Linked DNA regions of Arabidopsis thaliana. The protein of the gene in region 1 interacts with the protein of each later gene in a biochemical or structural test. Each region holds a gene or a part of one and is shown on either strand. Other genes may lie near its edges.

What was found.
Region 2: the proteins of AT2G30620 (region 1) and DME form a complex in vitro, tested with the Arabidopsis thaliana proteins (one study listed by BioGRID).

What each region holds. Positions count from the first base shown.
Region 1 is NC_003071.7:13,039,897-13,049,993, forward strand, and holds AT2G30620 (winged-helix DNA-binding transcription factor family protein), read left to right. Parts: upstream 1-5,034; 5' UTR 5,035-5,463; coding exon 5,464-5,664; intron 5,665-5,750; coding exon 5,751-6,371; 3' UTR 6,372-6,786; downstream 6,787-10,097. Other genes in the region: AT2G30600 (BTB/POZ domain-containing protein), read left to right, coding at 1-79, 176-223, 324-382, 475-607, 724-798, 945-1,025, 1,199-1,267, 1,361-1,579; AT2G30615 (F-box/LRR protein), read right to left, coding at 1,874-2,446; AT2G30630 (P-loop containing nucleoside triphosphate hydrolases superfamily protein), read right to left, coding at 6,987-7,247, 7,322-7,466, 7,546-7,868, 8,038-8,158, 8,240-8,461, 8,536-8,884, 8,973-9,210. UniProt on the Arabidopsis thaliana protein: Histones H1 are necessary for the condensation of nucleosome chains into higher-order structures.
Region 2 is NC_003076.8:1,304,130-1,315,041, forward strand, and holds the start of DME (HhH-GPD base excision DNA repair family protein), read left to right. Parts: upstream 1-4,984; 5' UTR 4,985-5,107; exon of another isoform or gene 5,108-5,490; 5' UTR 5,491-5,656; coding exon 5,657-6,227; exon of another isoform or gene 6,228-6,338; coding exon 6,339-8,459; intron 8,460-8,557; coding exon 8,558-8,902; intron 8,903-9,135; coding exon 9,136-9,226; intron 9,227-9,296; coding exon 9,297-10,683; intron 10,684-10,775; coding exon 10,776-10,855; intron 10,856-10,912. Other genes in the region: AT5G04550 (type-1 restriction enzyme mjaxp r protein (DUF668)), read right to left, coding at 1-1,427. UniProt on the Arabidopsis thaliana protein: Transcriptional activator involved in gene imprinting. Catalyzes the release of 5-methylcytosine (5-meC) from DNA by a glycosylase/lyase mechanism.

The DNA.
Region 1 (10,097 bases):
CAAAGAAAGGCTTCAGTCACTTGATGACCTGTTACCTCATGTACGCTTCTCTTTGTTGCCATATGAGTTACTTAAAAGGGTAAGTGGATCCTGACCCTGTATATGCTGAATGAACTTTGTCATTTTCTGTTAAATTAATTTCGCTGATGCCATCTATGCTTTGATGATGACGCAGTTAGAAAACAGCAACCTAAGCAAAGAAATCCCAGTATTCAATCGTCTTGTAAGTTCTTAACATCTTCTATCGATTTGGGGATTATTTAATTTGTCATTTCAAGACTGATTTTCTCTCCAAGCCCTCACTTATTTTGTCTTGTGTACAGTTGAAGGAGGCTGCTAGCTTCCTAACATCCGGATTGATATCCCCAGGAAATGAACCGATGTATGAATTACATAGTCATGTATCTTAGGATTGTAAACATCTCCAGGTTTATATTTCCAGACTTCTCAATTATTAAAGCTTTTCACCTCTAGTTCAAGATTCCAACATCGGAGATCGAGTTTCAAGGAGCTTCAGTACATACGTGATGGGGACAGCAATGGGGTGCTGCACTTTGTGGGTACATCTTATGGTAGTCATCAGTGGGTCAACCCCGTTCTCGCAAAGGTTAACCTCACTTTTATCTTACTTTCTTTATTCATATTGTTGGAAATCCAATTACCATGACAAGGAATTCTGCTGGAGAAAAATATTTCCTTATTTGAGTTCTTTATGTTTTACAGAAAATCAACATTACATCGAGTAGTCCCACATCCAGATTCACTGATCCAAAGGCTTTGGCTTCAAAAGCCTATGCGGTATGGTCCACCCAAGTTCGCTCGGATTATATGACTAGAATTTGGCTTGAACTACAAAATTGACGAAGCATAAAATTAATTGAAGTGAACCTTCTTTCCTCTTAGATACAGTATTTAACCATATGATTTCATTTTTTTGGCACCAGGGTACTTCCTTTGCAGGGCCTAGGATGGAAGACGGCCATATATCATCCTGGTGGGTGGTGGACTTAGGCGAAGAACATCAGGTCTCCTCCATAACTTCTCTTTCTACATACTCTGTTCTCATAAAGACACAAACGGTCTAAATGCTCCATATGTAACCCATACTCGCAGAAATAAGAGAAAATGTATTTGAGTAAAACAACATTTACTTTAAGTTCTGAAAATAATATAACACGGTGAGGATTTTTGGTTGCAGCTTATGTGCAACTATTACACCTTCAGACAAGACGGATCAAGAGCATTCACAAGATTCTGGAAGTTTCAGGTATCTTATTTTTGCTACAATTATTTCCTGTCTTCTTAAGACAAGAGGTGCTTAGGAAAGTTTTGTGTTGTCGTTGTCTTGATGGGTTTGAAGGGATCGATGGATGGGAAAACATGGACAGACTTGAGAGTCCATGAGGATGACCAAACAATGTGCAAGGCCGGTCAGTTTGCATCATGGCCAATCACCGCAGCAAATGCATTACTCCCCTTTAGGTTTTTCAGGCTGGTTCTGACCGGTCCAACTGCAGATACATCAACTCCGTGGAACTTTTGCATTTGCTACTTGGAGCTCTACGGTTACTTCCGTTGAAGCGCTCTGCAATGAATGACCTTTTGACTGTTTCTACTACACACGTTTTTGACGTTTATCCTGTTTACCTTTTGTTCTTGTACTACAGTGATCTTTGAACCTGAAAGTGTTTCTCAATATATGTTAAACTTGATTCCAGTTAGATTGTTTTGGTTTTTATACAAGAGATTTGGCCTATGGCTGTGGAGTAATGAGTTATACTTTGTTTTTTATGACTCGGTTTAAGAATCTCTTGCATAAAACTGACGAAGCAGACTCTTTTTTGACAAAAAAAAGTATCACAACAGAGTAAAATCAAGACCTAGACGAAAAGCGAAAAATGACAAAAGCCACAAGAGTTGTGGTAAGCAAAATGTTTGGGAACCGCTCGAATCTTTTAAAGCATTTGGACATCCATGAGTCCGGCGGCAAATGATGTGTAGAAGGGTATGTCACAATCTTTGGAGCAGAATCCGAATGTCGAAGTGGAACCATATTCTCTACGAAATGAGATAAAACACGAATGTCTGCAGCGATAAAATGGACTTCGTTTGTTTCTGGATTATATTTGAACAGCCTCTTTTCACTGTCATGGAAGAAAAGATTCCCTTGCTTAGAAACTGTCACTGGTCTACACCACAACCTCCATATCCAAGGGTGAAGAGCTCTAGGGAATAAACAAAATGAGTACGTCTTGGTCCATGTATCTTCCTGTGGATCCAAGCTCCATATCCTTACTTCCCAATGAGAAACTCCATAATATGTTTTAACCAAGGCTAGACGATCTTCAAGGTTAACTAGCTCGCTCGGTTCCCGGGGTGTGGGCGGTGTTGGGACATCACGAAACTGTTCAGTGTGAAGATCCAGAGCTAGAATCTTGAAACGCATGTTAAGATGTGTCACTCACATGTTAAACGCATGTCTCGGGACTGCTCCGCGGAAAATCTTGAAGATATTGATGACAAAATTTGTATCGAAAAATCAATGCTTGTACAATCTACGACCAAAATGTATTTTTATTTTATTTGTATTTCTAGAGGTGTACAATTGAAAATCCTCAAAATAATCCACCAATAGTATCCAAATCATATGTTATTTATATACTCTTTATAAATATAAAATTAATTATGTGACAAAAAAAATCAAGTAATTCAAAAATTAATTAAGGTAGATCAAATAGCTTATAATTTAGTGATAAACTTTTAAATGTCATAAGACAAAAAGAATTACTTTAAATTTCATAGAACAAAGTTAACTAAATATATGCTAAACATATTTAAAGTTTTTCTTCTCTTTAGAACTAAACATTCACGAAGTGTTAATGTGAGGATGTTTACGACAAATTATTAATGTGAGGAGGTTAACAAAGAGGGCCTACGTGTTTCACGTTTCTGTTTGTATGTCATAAGAAATGAAAATTTATCCCTAATTAGGGAATTAGTTTAGTGATAAACTTTTAAATGTCTCAATGACAATTATTAATTTGATTTCGTAAAATTTCGTAAATATTTCTTAAATAATGTCTAGGGAAGAATGAAGATGACATTTGTACTGAAAGTAAGGGATGTGGATAAGTATTCTAAATAATCAAAACTAGTGTAAGGTCTTATTGTTTTAATTAAGATTCTTAGCATATGTAGAGAATACAAAAAATAAAAATAAAATTGCATACTTGTGTTTATCGAAAGATTAGTGACAAAAATTTGTTACCTTTTTCGTAAATGGTAGATGGAAAACATTAACCATATTATAAGTTTTGTCAATCAATAATCATTTACTAGCTCATCACTAAATCCGTAACGAGAAAAACTCGTAATCAAACTGCATGTTTGTTAAGTGATAGAATAGTCTAGAAGACTCTAGATAATATGGTTCGAGTATTTTAAAAACCAACATTAGCTTCCATTGGTGAATGTAAAAAATGTAAATGACTAGTGACATCCAAGAGTAAACCATTTGGACGCATCAATTTTGAACGAGAGATTGGTGGATTAATGTCTACATACACGTTTACTCTCAAGCTATTTATGGTTGTGTTAAAGGTTCCTATCTTACTTAGCGGCTTTGTTTTGGGTATAAATATATTGATTGAATTTTAACATTTAAGAGTATCATCGTTTAGAAAATATTTGTGACGAAAATAATTAGACTATGGTCAGATTGATTATAACTTTACAAAACGGTTTCTTTTTACTTGTGTAATGACATTTAGCTATAGATCAATTTAGCGTTCTTAATTTGTGTTGGGTTAGATTTTGAATTGGAAAACATTTGACGTATATATGAGTTGGATCCAGTTTGTATTTTGGTTACATTTTCAGTTATATATGTGATAAGAAGAGTTAATTTAGAAAGTTATTTTTTACTGTCTGTATATATCTCTATAAGGAAAATTTTCTAATTAAATCATTTCTTTGAAACTCTTATTTGCATCAATCATATATGCCATATATTCACACATATATTCGTGTCGAAGATGTTATATAATATTTCTAAGAAAAAATCATTGAAAATGCGAAAATATTTCATACCGATATGAATATTGGTTTGTGATTATAGGTTTATAACAAGATCTCACCAACGTTGCTTCGTTGGAGAACTACAGTATTAAGGTGACAAACTTAGTTTCATGTCAATTACTCGTTTTCGTTTTGTTTTGGTCTCGTTTCAATATATTAGTTATATATGGATGATGAAAGAATAAAATTTTGTATTAATATGAATTGGTTTTTGACTTTACGTATATTTCAGTAGAGGAAAACTTGCCTAATTCACAATTTCCTTATGAATATAAACTTTTTTATAACTATGATATATAATAAACCTATAATCTCAAATCAATATTGATGTTTGTTCAGAAATTTCTCGCGGTTTAACTATCATCAATGTTGATTTGTTAAAGAATAGGCATAGCAACATGTTACCTGAATCGAAATTCATAGCAAAGATTTATGTTTGCTAACGAATATCATATACTATTATTGATAATAATAAAGTTACATTTAAGCTTTTAGAAGCTATATGCATATACTTGCATACATCATCATTATACGCATATGCTTCACTAATTCCACATTTTAAAACAAATTTAAACTTTGTGATTCAATTCAAGATGTAATGACTTTCAAATATGTAAAATGGTTCCAACGCATTACTCTTTGGTTATCTTAGTTAGGACTCTCTTAAAGAGAGACACATCACACATGCAACAAGTTGTGTGGCACCACACACAAGAAGATGGTCATCTTTGGTCGGATTCAACAACACAATTTTCCACCTTAAACTCATCCGATTTCATCAAATCATAGTTCGTTACACTCCTTGATTAGTCTAGTTTTCAACGAACATAACCATTAAAAAAAAAACCATAAGCATTCTCCAAAAAACCAAAAATACCGTAATACTATCAAAACAAACCATAGTTTTGACCAACCTTGCTTCAATCCCCATTTTCTCATCCTACACAAAACCATTTCAATCGATTAAACACTCAAACAAAACCTTACAGAATTATCTACACAATGAAAAAAACAAAATCAAAATCCATAAAGTAAACAAAAAGTTATGATAAAATCAATCAAAGCTAAAAGCACACCAATACAATACACAAAAGCACCTATCCACATCCATTAACCTCCGCATCCTTACATTCGTAATCCTAAATTATAAACCGTCGATAGATTTAAATCCAACGGTTGAAATTCAAACCTGAGTTGATACACCGATCCGAGTACTCATCATTTTAACCAATCAGAGAAGAGATTACAAACTCTGTCTCATAAACACATCTGACTATATAAACATCATTCCCATAGTTCTTCTCCTTCTCCTCATCACAAAATTCTCCGACGCATTACATTTTCTTCCGATCAATACAGAGAGATCAGTTTCTGAGAGAGAAGAAGATGTCTATAGAGGAAGAAAACGTTCCAACGACTGTTGACTCAGGAGCTGCCGATACAACGGTGAAATCTCCGGAGAAGAAACCGGCGGCGAAAGGTGGTAAATCTAAGAAGACGACGACGGCTAAAGCAACGAAGAAGCCTGTGAAAGCTGCTGCTCCAACGAAGAAGAAAACAACTTCCTCTCACCCTACCTATGAAGAGGTCAATATTCGATCTAAACTTTTTTTTTTTGAATTTTTATCAGATTCATAGATTTGGAATTTGAATTTTGTTTGAATTCGATGCAGATGATTAAAGATGCGATTGTAACGTTGAAGGAGAGAACTGGATCTAGTCAATACGCGATTCAGAAATTCATAGAGGAGAAACATAAATCACTGCCTCCTACTTTTAGGAAGCTTTTGCTTGTGAATCTCAAGAGACTTGTTGCTTCTGAGAAATTGGTTAAAGTCAAAGCTTCTTTTAAGATTCCTTCTGCTAGATCCGCAGCAACACCTAAACCGGCTGCTCCGGTTAAGAAGAAGGCAACTGTAGTAGCTAAACCTAAGGGTAAGGTTGCTGCTGCTGTTGCTCCTGCTAAAGCTAAAGCGGCGGCTAAAGGAACTAAGAAGCCTGCGGCTAAAGTTGTTGCTAAGGCTAAGGTTACTGCTAAACCTAAGGCTAAGGTTACTGCTGCTAAACCTAAGTCTAAGTCTGTTGCTGCTGTTTCCAAGACTAAAGCTGTTGCTGCTAAGCCTAAGGCTAAGGAGAGACCAGCTAAAGCTTCTAGGACTTCGACTAGAACATCTCCAGGGAAAAAAGTTGCTGCTCCTGCTAAGAAAGTGGCTGTGACTAAGAAGGCTCCGGCTAAGAGTGTGAAGGTGAAGTCTCCGGCGAAGAGAGCTTCGACTAGGAAGGCTAAGAAGTGAAGAAGATTGGTTTAGGATAGGTTTTGGGGGGAGATTGAATACATGGTGGTGGTTAGCTTCTATAGGGTAGTCTTGTATAATTGAATCATCCTTGAAGGAGCTTGCTTTCCAAAGTTTTTTACTTGTTTCTTTGGTTTCTTCTTGAAACTTTTTTTTTTCTTCTTTGTAAGTTTTGGTTTGTTTGAATTTTAAGCTTTTTGATCAATAGCTATAATGTGATGGTTTCTTCACTCTTTTACTTGTTCAGAAACTGTTATAGAAGCTTTCCATTTCAAGCAAATGACATTCACATGTTTAGTTCTGTCTTACTGTATCATTGTCTTTGTGGATTCTTCAGTTGTGGTTTTGAAGGAACTGGTCTCTCTTAAGAACAAGCTTGACCAATGTTAAGGTGAGATTCATATGTTTTCCTCTGAATCATGTCATACATTTGCTTCCTTAAACATCTCTTAAGACCAAGCTTGACAATGTAACTATCTCTTAGGTTAGGTGTTGCCAATTCTCTCTTTACTAGAGAGATTCAATTTTGTTTGATGTTTTAGGAGTTACATAAATGAATGACATACCGGGAAAAAAAAAGCTAAGAGATCTTCTGCGTTTATCTATCTTCATCTCTCATCTTGGTGTTTCTTGGAGATACTGTTTGAATCTTTCCACTTTCTGAATTGAGTATTTGAGCTCTTGTTGAATGTTGAACCTAGAAGGAGAAAGAACAATGTCTTTCCATATTGATCCAGCTTCACAAGCAGGATTTGGATTTCTGTATAGCTCGTAAATAGAATCTGCATTCTCGTTTAACCTCCCTACATTCTTCAAACAGTCTATCTCCTCTGGATCCACTAGCAATGTCTTTTCCTTCTCTTTCCACCCTATCAGCTGCATAAACCACATTTGTTCACCATGGATCCTCACTTTCATTACTTAAAACGTTTCAGGAGGAAAATTTTAACCTTTGGAGAACCTTCAAGAGCATTGGTGCAGTAAAGTCTAGCATTGTCAACTAAGTTGCAATAGGTAAGAAACGCATTCGCAAACCTCTTGTGAGATCTCAGCTGAGACCTCACTCTAACTGCTCTTCTACACATTATAGCTCTCCTGCATATATAGTAAACCAAAACCTTATGTTATGAAAACACACAATTGTTTTAAAGACCAACACTTGGAACATTCTCACCTAATTCCTCGAATCACTGCTAAATATGCATCACATACAACTCCAACTAACTCTATCCTGTATGGCTTTCTCTCCCTTCCATCTTCTTGAAGCTGTTGCCTTTCGCCTATGCGTTCCCAATAGTTCTCTATAACATCTCCATTCTCACCAACCTTGTAGCCAGCTCCCATTCTGTAACGATGGCGATGCACATTCCTCGCCATTGTTATGGTCTGAACCACAAATGGTACCCAAGAGAGTGTTCCATCCATTATCACGTCTCGCCCTTCGTTGAGAGCTGTAACGAGCAGCGATGATGCTGCGTCTGTTGATGATTGGTGAACCTGTTTTATTTCCATTTCACCGTCAGAGTTTCACAACATTGGATATTGAGTATAACAAAGGTAATATGCAGTATATATGAAGTTGATTCCTTGCACATTTTGTCGCTCTGCAGGTTCTTTTTACGTTAAGGATTCTTATTGCAACCTATAAGGAAACAAAGAACCTTACGAATTCAGCAGTCTTGATCATATCAACATGACCTCTGGCGCTTAAAGCTCTGTATATCACATCAGATTCTTTAAAAGCATCGGCTTCAATCACCACAGCATCAGCTCCTGCCCAAAACGGTCTGATCCAAAGCACACAAGCATGTACAGGTTCAATGCATAAGAACACTGATTAATGACAGATATGTTGATACTTTACTTACTCTTTGAGAATGTCTTTAAGCACAGTGCTCTTTCCTGCACCCATACCACCTCCCATAAGAAGTAGAACCGGGCTTCGGTCCTTGTGTGCAACTGGAGCCATAACTTCTGTACACTCTGAGTCATCAACAGATGCGATCCCCATTGCTTTCATTTCCTCTACCAATGTGTTAAACACTCTTGCCACTTTTAGATTTTTAGTCACCCTCTCAAACCTCTGTTCCCTATATATTAACCAAGGAACAAACAATCATTTTGGGAAGAATCATTAAAGAGAACACTTGTTTTTTAGACTCACCTTGTAGCCGCCATGACAATGTGCTTTAGCTTCTTCTTAGGCTCTACATCGGCACTGAGTATCTGAAATGTTTTTGGTCTATTAGTAATATAACAAAGAAGGGATAATGAAAGTTTATTAGTAACCTGACTGATCATGAGATCCGCATGGCTCCAGTGGTAAGCAAAGTAACTAAGAATACATCTCTCAAACTCTTCAACGAGCTTAATGAAGAGAGAATCAGCACCAGGCTCTTCAGAGAAGAAGCTGTATATGTCTTCCTCACAGCTGCCTGATTTTCTTATGTACTCATTAGCTAATTTGCAGAGATGAGGACATTCTCTCCTGTCCTTGAATCCCATCTGCCGCACTACAAAAGACACAAACAACATTTCCTTAATATGCATCATAATCTAAGATCAGGAAGATTTCAAGGAAGCTATGTAGATTGATTTTACCAACATAGTGAGAGAATCTCTCAAGCTTCTCATGGCCTTTGTGTTTTTGAGACGATCTGAGACGAGGGATGTTCTTGGAGTGACGTAGCTTCCTTAGACGGAAGTGCAGTGCAAGGGCTAAGAGTAAGCCAATGGATGAGATTACTAAAATCTGTGCGAAGGTCGTCGTGTTGTTGTTGCTGTTAAACTCTGGAACACACATTGATCTGGATTTGCTTTGGGGATCATCAAGAGACATGAGATTAAGATTGTTAGAACTCTAAGATTGGGTCCATTCTTGAGTTTGTTTTCTGTTACGAGACAATGTATCTGCTTTCTCCACGTGTGTTGTACTAAAATAGCTTTGAGTCCTATTACTCCGGAAGTTTCTTAGTTTGCTTTTTGTGTGATTTGACTCACCATTTTGTTTTAATAACCAAACTCTCATCCCCAATGTATGATATAATAGTGTTTTGGCAATGGTTTTATAAAATCTATTCGTTAAGGCTATAACATAAGAAGAATCTGTCATTGGATATCTATTGGAAAAATGAGTTACAGAGAAAGGCTTTGAAAATAATATTCTAAACCTAAGTATAAGAAATAATAAATTCAGATCAGAGAAGAAGTAAAGAATCTAAAGAGAGATGTCATATGTTTTTCATATAGGAGCTGTGCAAGTTGTTCTGAAATGGCCAGCCTGATTACACCGGCTACATCGAACAACCCGCTTTTGACGTCCACGGTCCTCTCCTTGACTTCTCCTCTTCTTTGGCCGTGGTGGTTGTCTTAAATCCCTAGGTGGTCTGATAACAATCTCTTCACCATCCTCACCACTTTCTCCGGCAGGTTCTGTTGTTTTCCACTCAGTTTTGTCTGGAACTGGATGTATGGTTTCTGCGTAAGTTCGCCGGTAATTTGCTACAGTGAAGTAACTCTCTGTGAACCTGTATACGTTCTGTCTACAAGCGAGGAGGGCTGCAACTGCGTGGCTACAAGGCAAACCGTATAACTCCCATCCACGGCAGTAACACGTACGGCATCTAATATCCACTATCCATTTTCCTTCACTGGTCATGACCTCGAATTGTGCTTCGTTTGCTTTGTGAACTGGGTACAAACGACATTCTTCTATAGCCTCAAGGA
Region 2 (10,912 bases), on another chromosome or scaffold:
CTCACGCTCGCCGGTAACATGTTGTAAAGGTCGTCTCTTGCATCATCTCCTATCAAGTGAGGAGACGCAACAAATCTCTCTATCACGATGATGACATTAGCATAGTGTAATGCTAAGCAAGCGGTACCAAGGGTATTAGGAGCAGCATCTGACAGCTTGGGTCGGGAAGGAAGTGTCAAGTTTTCAACGTGAACAGAGTTAGAATTATCTTCAAGAATGTGATGCTCAGCACTACTATTCCTAGCTCCATTCCGGGCCCTAGTGCTGAGAGGCGTAATCCCATCGTGAGACACCATACAGCCTTTAAATGGGCCAACCTGTGTTAATCGGTTGGCTTTCAATTGCTTTTTCACTGAGGAAATTGAAGGCCTTTCCGGGGTCTGCCCCATCTTCTTGTTGTTTTTGCCCATTCCGATAAGTGGTCCTGATTTGGAGGTGATCTTCCCAAGCTGACCAGAGTAAAACTTGAAACGTTTGTGTTTTTCTGCAACAAGAGGACCTGACTTAGGTGATTCGGCGCTGAGAGAACCCGAAAGGAAATCACTCATCTTCGTGGACCTTGTAGCAGCTGAACCCGATGCTGGACCGGTAAATCTTCCAAGGGGGCCAGAAGCAAATCTAGGAAGACCACTAGACTCAGATTTATGAGATACAGGAGTTAAAATAGTAGAAACGGAGTGGCTGCGGCCAATAAAATCAGAATCTGCAGAGCTAACATCACTTGCTTCCACTCTGTAACTAATGCCAAAAACATGTTTAGTCCTGCTAAGGATTGTGAAAACTGATCTAACCAAGAGAATGACGGTATAGTCATAAGTACGGTTCCAAAGAGACACATCCCGCAGATTCTTCACTTCGTGTCTTTTCCATGTAACTTTTTTCTGATACTCCAAAAGATTGTCAGTAGCAGATTCATTGCTCTTCATTCTCTTGAAAGTCTGTTCAAGATCAGCAAGAATCTCAGTCTCCTGGTAGAGACTAGCATTAGATGATATGAAACGTTCCATTTTCTTAGCTTTCTTATCCATTTTCTTCCACCCAAACTGCCAACCATAAGGGTCAGCTCCAGTCTTCATCATATCACTAAAACAATTCTCAAAGCACTTCAACTTGGGATCGTTGCATTTCCTCGCAAGCCTAGCCACAGCTTTCGCTACATTCTCAACGTTCTCCATCATTTCATCACGTATTAACCTCACAATAAAATCATCATCTTCTGAAACTAACTTCTTTATACCAGTGGAATGTGTAATCTCGTCCCTAAGCCTTGCAACATTCTTATCACTTAATGACTGCCACAAATGAACAAGCTTCGACAACAAACTCGCAACCTCAAACGCTAATACTCCTAGAACCGCCTTATCTTTATGACCATCATGTTTCTTTGGAAACCTCCACAGATTACGAAACCAAGTCTCTGAAACCATCTTCTCTCAACCTGCAATAAACCAATACTATCAACACCAAAAAGCTTCCAAATTTCACAATAAAAAACCAGACCCACGATTGAAATCTCAAGAAAACAGCAAGAAGTAACTCGTACACAAGCAAAAAGGAATTGAAATTGGGGAAATCTAGCTACAGAGCTCAAGTTAGAGAGAAACGCCCAAATTCAACCAACCCTCTAAATCGGTTCTCGAAGCTTAAAGCTACCAACATCGAATTTAGTAAAAGACCCATGATTTGAAATTGGAATTGTCGGCAAAATCGAGAAGATATAGAGCCGACACGGGAACAGTGAAAACCACAAAGCGCGTAAGAATGAAACAGTGGGAGAAGGAAGAGAGAATCTTACCGATCATTCGAGGGAAAAGATGGGAATCAGAGAAAAATCTGGAAAAAAAGAAATTAAGAGAAAGAGAGAGAAGAAAGTGAGGAGGAAGATGCAGTGAAGACTGCTATAGCCACATCCCACATGGTGTGATGAGAGAGAGAGAGAGAGAGGTTAAAGCAGCAAATTGTGGAGAGATAAAGAGAGAGAGAGACTGAGCGAGTCAAGTTCGTCGTCGTGTTTAAAAGAAAGAATCCTATATTTGCCTTTTTCTTTACTACTTTATTTTCAGACTATTTGCTTATTTTGCCTCAAACTTTTTTGATTGTCACTTTTCGATCCTAAAGTGTTTGACAATTTACCTGCCTTTTTCTCCAAGAAAAATCAGAACAGACCACAGCAAATTTATGTATTTTCTATTAAAAAAGAAAGAAAGAATTCATATTACTTATAGAATTAAAAGCTAAGCAGTTGAAAACGTGAAAGCAGAATTTCTAAAAAAAATAGTAAACTGCTACAAACTTATTTATGTGTATATAACATATCTATAAAGAAACTCAAATATATGATAAATCATTTTAACAAAATTTCTATGAAATTATAATAAAAAAAGTCACTTTTGACACTTAAAAGGTTGACAATAACCGTCTCTCCAAAAAAAAATCAAAACATTTATAATTTCTAAAACTATGGTGTAATTTTGCTGAAATCAAAAAGAAAAGAAGGATTTCTATATCATAAGTTTCATTATTGTATCAAACTTTCAAATTTCATGTAATTTGAAAGGAAAAAAATTAAGATATAATGTTGTTTTTGTTTCTTATGTTACATTTTCATGGAATATATATTCATAACAAAAAATGTATTTTAATATGATGAGAGATTACCATCCAAAAGGTCGAACTTATATAAAACAAGTTAATAACTAAACAATACATGTGATCACAATCAATGACAGTTTTGATCTTAAAATAGAAATGATTGAGCAAACCTCAAAAATGTCTTCTTAGGATCACAAAATCTTTCCTTTAGCTTATTAAAGCCGGGAGTTCAACTCTCTCTCCCTTGTAGACTTTTTGTTTTCAAATCTTTTTCTTTCAAAAAATCAATAATTAGTTAATGGGCATAATATTTGGTTTTAATTAAGTCCATAGATTTTTTAGGACCATCTCTAATCACGACAAATATCCTAAATTGTAACACATTTAAAACTTAAAAGTATTGCATTCACAATCCTTAAAATATATATATATATATATATATATATATATATATATATATATGAAAGTTATATAGAAACGATAACTCCTTACTCAACAATTAGCCCAAAAAAACATCCATAATGCATTTAAACTAGGAATTTTAACAAACTCAAATAGGTTGGTAGTTAAAAAAAAACAAATAGTAGATGTACATACGTACCTTTAAAAATATATACTCATATCGAAAGTTTTAAATTTTGCGAAATTAAATACATTTATCTATCAATTAAAATACATTTAATAATGCATAATTCTGTAATATCTATCTTTAATTTCCATATAGAACCAAAACAAAATAAACATATCAAATAGTTTTAACTTAACAAAAACGTTAGGGAAAAGTTGACCTAACTAGCTTGATTGACGTTGAACTTGTCAATGCGAAAGCGATATTTCCAATATATACTACATGTAGTATTATTTATATGGAAGTTTCTAAAAAGGTGTTGAGTGGATTGTTACTTGTTGGAGGATGCTATTTTTTCCTTCTTGCCATAATATTTTACGAGTATGGGATAACTACATACTCATGATTATGAAACGCTCACTTTATTTGAAAAACCTCCTAATACACCAAATATGTCACTAGATTCCAAAACGTAGACCAATTGTATCTAATCTCAAATTCTCAATCAAAGTATTAATTTACCGATGGTAAGAAAAGTTAACCGATATAATTATCAAAAGAAAGAATAAGTCAACAGATTCTTAATCTCTTTATTTTGGTATATGAACATTTGTACAAAAATCTCAAAAGATATGTAACTGTTTAAAATATAAATTCACTGAGATTAATTCTTCAGACTCGTGTTAGCTATAATAATGTCAAGAGTTCTTCTTGTTTCAAGGAAAAACCTTAAAGATATGTATATTTTCTGTAATTATGATGATATAATTTGCTATTCATTGTCACAAACATTACTTTAAAAAATCGTATTTTCATTACTACAATGTTGACTAAGAACAAAAATACATTGATTATTGATATATCGTCAACTGAATTTTCTTCCGAGGGATATAATTCTCAAACATAGCAAGAATCTCATAATAATGTTTCGTGACTACCTTTAGACGAAATTTTTTTAAGATTCGTAACGTGACTTATGGTCTCTTGCTGTGGGGGTCAATGCGAATAAATCTAAATGTATGGGAGTCAAATAAAATACCAAGAAAAATAAAGGAGCAGCACCCAATAAACTATATGGGACCAGAAATCCTTTCATTGGTTTAAAATAGGATTATCCCGAAAGATGAAGGACTAAATTGAAACTGATTGGGGGTAGGAAGAGATCCGTCACAATCATTAATGGCTTCCACGCGGAAACTTGTCGTTTATACAATTTCATTAACTTTCGGGTCGGGTTTATATTCCAAATGGGTCAAATAATATTAGTTTAATACACTAACGGAGTAATTAATTGGTGACTACAATTTTATCAGTTTGGTGCAATTAGAAACGAACATAGTCGTAAAATACGAGTTCGGTGTTATACCTTTATTTACGTTAAAAAAATACGAGAATTTTGTGTCAAATTTCAAATTAATTTCATGAATATATGGAAATTATTAGATACTCTAGCGAAAATAGTGATTATGAGCGTTTTACAAAAATACGATTTTAGCATTGAACTTCCTTTATGTAATTCGGTCAAATGTTGGCATGAAGAAGCAAGTTTGCAACATTAAATTTCATTTAAAAATCGTGTTGACATACTTTAAAATCTAAATATAGGAAGAAGACCAAAACATTAAATTTAGTAAGATTCTAATGAACATTTATAAGTTATAACTTATAACCAACAAAAGTTGGGTTTAGCGTTGTTGCTTTATCTGAAAACTTGCAAACTAAACCATTTTAATAGGACTAATGACAATTAACAACAAAATACACTTAAGCAACAACGTCCTCGTGAATATAATTTGGGCCTCAGGCCCATATTGCTAACGCCAACTGATATTTCACTTTATTCCTTCTTCATCTCACCACACTCTCTCTCTATCTCTATCTCTAACGGCATAGCTGACTCAGTGTTCTCCGGCATTGACTCGCCTGAGAATCAGAAAGCTTAGATCGGTGAGCTTTTAGCTCCATTTTCTGTTTATTTACATATTATTTCCTTTTTTTCTCTCTCCCTTTTTTATCTGGAATTTGTTCTGCTAAATTTTCCAGCTGTTACATTTTCCGATCACGAGAAGAATCACTGGGTTTTTATGTTAATCAATACATGTTCCTGTTTTCTGATCATAAATCTCAGCTATTAACACCTGATTTTGATTCTGCGTAATAAAAACCTCTGATTTGCTTTTATCTTCACTTTCCCCATAAACATTGCTTACTTTATTCGCTCTTCTTTTACCGTTTCCAGCTAAAAAATTCTTCGCTATTCAATGTGTTTCTCGTTTTGTTGATGAGAAAAATATCTGACAAAAAATCATTTATTGCATTTTATGGTGCAGATTCTTAGTTAATGTCGCCTTCTCTAACCAAGTCAGATTAAAAAGGAGTGTTCGTCCATGTTGCTTTGTTTTGGTGTTTGGAGAGAGTTTTCGGAGAGTTAGGTGAGTGTTATTTGGGGTGAGGTAGTGATAAGGTTTGAAGGGGGAGTGATTCATCAAGTGTGTTATGAATTCGAGGGCTGATCCGGGGGATAGATATTTTCGAGTTCCTTTGGAGAATCAAACTCAACAAGAGTTCATGGGTTCTTGGATTCCATTTACACCCAAAAAACCTAGATCAAGTCTGATGGTAGATGAGAGAGTGATAAACCAGGATCTAAATGGGTTTCCAGGTGGTGAATTTGTAGACAGGGGATTCTGCAACACTGGTGTGGATCATAATGGGGTTTTTGATCATGGTGCTCATCAGGGCGTTACCAACTTAAGTATGATGATCAATAGCTTAGCGGGATCACATGCACAAGCTTGGAGTAATAGTGAGAGAGATCTTTTGGGCAGGAGTGAGGTGACTTCTCCTTTAGCACCAGTTATCAGAAACACCACCGGTAATGTAGAGCCGGTCAATGGAAATTTTACTTCAGATGTGGGTATGGTAAATGGTCCTTTCACCCAGAGTGGCACTTCTCAAGCTGGCTATAATGAGTTTGAATTGGATGACTTGTTGAATCCTGATCAGATGCCCTTCTCCTTCACAAGCTTGCTGAGTGGTGGGGATAGCTTATTCAAGGTTCGTCAATGTGAGTGATCAAATCTATTTTCAGTTTTTTTTTTTCCCTTTCTTCCGTTCTTGCAGTACTTAGAGTAGAACATGAATTAGAATATCTTAAGAAAGTCATGGTTTTGAACAGATGGACCTCCAGCGTGTAACAAGCCTCTTTACAATTTGAATTCACCAATTAGAAGAGAAGCAGTTGGGTCAGTCTGTGAAAGTTCGTTTCAATATGTACCGTCAACGCCCAGTCTGTTCAGAACAGGTGAAAAGACTGGATTCCTTGAACAGATAGTTACAACTACTGGACATGAAATCCCAGAGCCGAAATCTGACAAAAGTATGCAGAGCATTATGGACTCGTCTGCTGTTAATGCGACGGAAGCTACTGAACAAAATGATGGCAGCAGACAAGATGTTCTGGAGTTCGACCTTAACAAAACTCCTCAGCAGAAACCCTCCAAAAGGAAAAGGAAGTTCATGCCCAAGGTGGTCGTGGAAGGCAAACCTAAAAGAAAGCCACGCAAACCTGCAGAACTTCCCAAAGTGGTCGTGGAAGGCAAACCTAAAAGGAAGCCACGCAAAGCTGCAACTCAGGAAAAAGTGAAATCTAAAGAAACCGGGAGTGCCAAAAAGAAAAATTTGAAAGAATCAGCAACTAAAAAGCCAGCCAATGTTGGAGATATGAGCAACAAAAGCCCTGAAGTCACACTCAAAAGTTGCAGAAAAGCTTTGAATTTTGACTTGGAGAATCCTGGAGATGCGAGGCAAGGTGACTCTGAGTCTGAAATTGTCCAGAACAGTAGTGGCGCAAACTCGTTTTCTGAGATCAGAGATGCCATTGGTGGAACTAATGGTAGTTTCCTGGATTCAGTGTCACAAATAGACAAGACCAATGGATTGGGGGCTATGAACCAGCCACTTGAAGTGTCAATGGGAAACCAGCCAGATAAACTATCTACAGGAGCGAAACTGGCCAGAGACCAACAACCTGATTTATTGACTAGAAACCAGCAATGCCAGTTCCCAGTGGCAACCCAGAACACCCAGTTCCCAATGGAAAACCAACAAGCTTGGCTTCAGATGAAAAACCAACTTATTGGCTTTCCATTTGGTAACCAGCAACCTCGCATGACCATAAGAAACCAGCAGCCTTGCTTGGCCATGGGTAATCAACAACCTATGTATCTGATAGGAACTCCACGGCCTGCATTAGTAAGTGGAAACCAGCAACTAGGAGGTCCCCAAGGAAACAAGCGGCCTATATTTTTGAATCACCAGACTTGTTTACCTGCTGGAAATCAGCTATATGGATCACCTACAGACATGCATCAACTTGTTATGTCAACCGGAGGGCAACAACATGGACTACTGATAAAAAACCAGCAACCTGGATCATTAATAAGAGGCCAGCAGCCTTGCGTACCTTTGATTGACCAGCAACCTGCAACTCCAAAAGGTTTTACTCACTTGAATCAGATGGTAGCTACCAGCATGTCATCGCCTGGGCTTCGACCTCATTCTCAGTCACAAGTTCCTACAACATATCTACATGTGGAATCTGTTTCCAGGATTTTGAATGGGACTACAGGTACATGCCAGAGAAGCAGGGCTCCTGCATACGATTCTTTACAGCAAGATATCCATCAAGGAAATAAGTACATACTTTCTCATGAGATATCCAATGGTAATGGGTGCAAGAAAGCGTTACCTCAAAACTCTTCTCTGCCAACTCCAATTATGGCTAAACTTGAGGAAGCCAGGGGCTCGAAGAGACAGTATCATCGTGCAATGGGACAGACGGAAAAGCATGATCTAAACTTAGCTCAACAGATTGCTCAATCACAAGATGTGGAGAGACATAACAGCAGCACGTGTGTGGAATATTTAGATGCTGCAAAGAAAACGAAAATCCAGAAAGTAGTCCAAGAAAATTTGCATGGCATGCCACCTGAGGTTATAGAAATCGAGGATGATCCAACTGATGGGGCAAGAAAAGGTAAAAATACTGCCAGCATCAGTAAAGGTGCATCTAAAGGAAACTCGTCTCCAGTTAAAAAGACAGCAGAAAAGGAGAAATGTATTGTCCCAAAAACGCCTGCAAAAAAGGGTCGAGCAGGTAGAAAAAAATCAGTACCTCCGCCTGCTCATGCCTCAGAGATCCAGCTTTGGCAACCTACTCCTCCAAAGACACCTTTATCAAGAAGCAAGCCTAAAGGAAAAGGGAGAAAGTCCATACAAGATTCAGGAAAAGCAAGAGGTAACTAATGTATTCTACAATCTCTGTGATATAATTTTGAGATTTTAGTAACTGATGTGTCCAAACCAGCTCCTTATCACTGTTGGTGCGTTGTATAGGTCCATCAGGAGAACTTCTGTGTCAGGATTCTATTGCGGAAATAATTTACAGGATGCAAAATCTGTATCTAGGAGACAAAGAAAGAGAACAAGAGCAAAATGCAATGGTCTTGTACAAAGGAGATGGTGCACTTGTTCCCTATGAGAGCAAGAAGCGAAAACCAAGACCCAAAGTTGACATTGACGATGAAACAACTCGCATATGGAACTTACTGATGGGGAAAGGAGATGAAAAAGAAGGGGATGAAGAGAAGGATAAAAAGAAAGAGAAGTGGTGGGAAGAAGAAAGAAGAGTCTTCCGAGGAAGGGCTGATTCCTTCATCGCTCGCATGCACCTGGTACAAGGTGAAGATCCACTTCTCTTCTCAACTCCATTTTTATTCACACAAATTAGTAGAATACTCAAAAATGATGTTTTGTTTGCAAAATTTTAAAATTCACTAGTTAACCATGTCAAATAATATTCATAATGCATCTTGTGAAGAACAGGTGTGCATTTATGGTGACAGCTGAATGGTTTATGTGCCTATTATTTCTTTTACTGCTATAGATGACCAATTGAACTTAAACGTTTACAGGAGATAGACGTTTTTCGCCATGGAAGGGATCGGTGGTTGATTCGGTCATTGGAGTTTTCCTTACACAGAATGTCTCGGATCACCTTTCAAGGTATATGAGTTGCCTTAATAAATTGAGTTCCAAAACATAGAAATTAACCCATGGTGGTTTTACAATGCAGCTCTGCGTTCATGTCTCTAGCTGCTCGATTCCCTCCAAAATTAAGCAGCAGCCGAGAAGATGAAAGGAATGTTAGAAGCGTAGTTGTTGAAGATCCAGAAGGATGCATTCTGAACTTAAATGAAATTCCTTCGTGGCAGGAAAAGGTTCAACATCCATCTGACATGGAAGTTTCTGGGGTTGATAGTGGATCAAAAGAGCAGCTAAGGGACTGTTCAAACTCTGGAATTGAAAGATTTAATTTCTTAGAGAAGAGTATTCAAAATTTAGAAGAGGAAGTATTATCATCACAAGATTCTTTTGATCCGGCGATATTTCAGTCGTGTGGGAGAGTTGGATCCTGTTCATGTTCCAAATCAGACGCAGAGTTTCCTACAACCAGGTGTGAAACAAAAACTGTCAGTGGAACATCACAATCAGTGCAAACTGGGAGCCCAAACTTGTCTGATGAAATTTGTCTTCAAGGGAATGAGAGACCGCATCTATATGAAGGATCTGGTGATGTTCAGAAACAAGAAACTACAAATGTCGCTCAGAAGAAACCTGATCTTGAAAAAACAATGAATTGGAAAGACTCTGTCTGTTTTGGTCAGCCAAGAAATGATACTAATTGGCAAACAACTCCTTCCAGCAGCTATGAGCAGTGTGCGACTCGACAGCCACATGTACTAGACATAGAGGATTTTGGAATGCAAGGTGAAGGCCTTGGTTATTCTTGGATGTCCATCTCACCAAGAGTTGACAGAGTAAAGAACAAAAATGTACCACGCAGGTTTTTCAGACAAGGTGGAAGTGTTCCAAGAGAATTCACAGGTCAGATCATACCATCAACGCCTCATGAATTACCAGGAATGGGATTGTCCGGTTCCTCAAGCGCCGTCCAAGAACACCAGGACGATACCCAACATAATCAACAAGATGAGATGAATAAAGCATCCCATTTACAAAAAACATTTTTGGATCTGCTCAACTCCTCTGAAGAATGCCTTACAAGACAGTCCAGTACCAAACAGAACATCACGGATGGCTGTCTACCGAGAGATAGAACTGCTGAAGACGTGGTTGATCCGCTCAGTAACAATTCAAGCTTACAGAACATATTGGTCGAATCAAATTCCAGCAATAAAGAGCAGACGGCAGTTGAATACAAGGAGACAAATGCCACTATTTTACGAGAGATGAAAGGGACGCTTGCTGATGGGAAAAAGCCTACAAGCCAGTGGGATAGTCTCAGAAAAGATGTGGAGGGGAATGAAGGGAGACAGGAACGAAACAAAAACAATATGGATTCCATAGACTATGAAGCAATAAGACGTGCTAGTATCAGCGAGATTTCTGAGGCTATCAAGGAAAGAGGGATGAATAACATGTTGGCCGTACGAATTAAGGTAAATCTACTAATTTCAGTTGAGACCCTCATCAAATCTGTCAGAAGGCTTGAACATCAGTAAATTATGTAACCATATTTACAACATTGCAGGATTTCCTAGAACGGATAGTTAAAGATCATGGTGGTATCGACCTTGAATGGTTGAGAGAATCTCCTCCTGATAAAGCCAAGTGGGTAAATCACATTTTTAGTGACTGCAACACTAGCACGATCGATTTACTCAACAA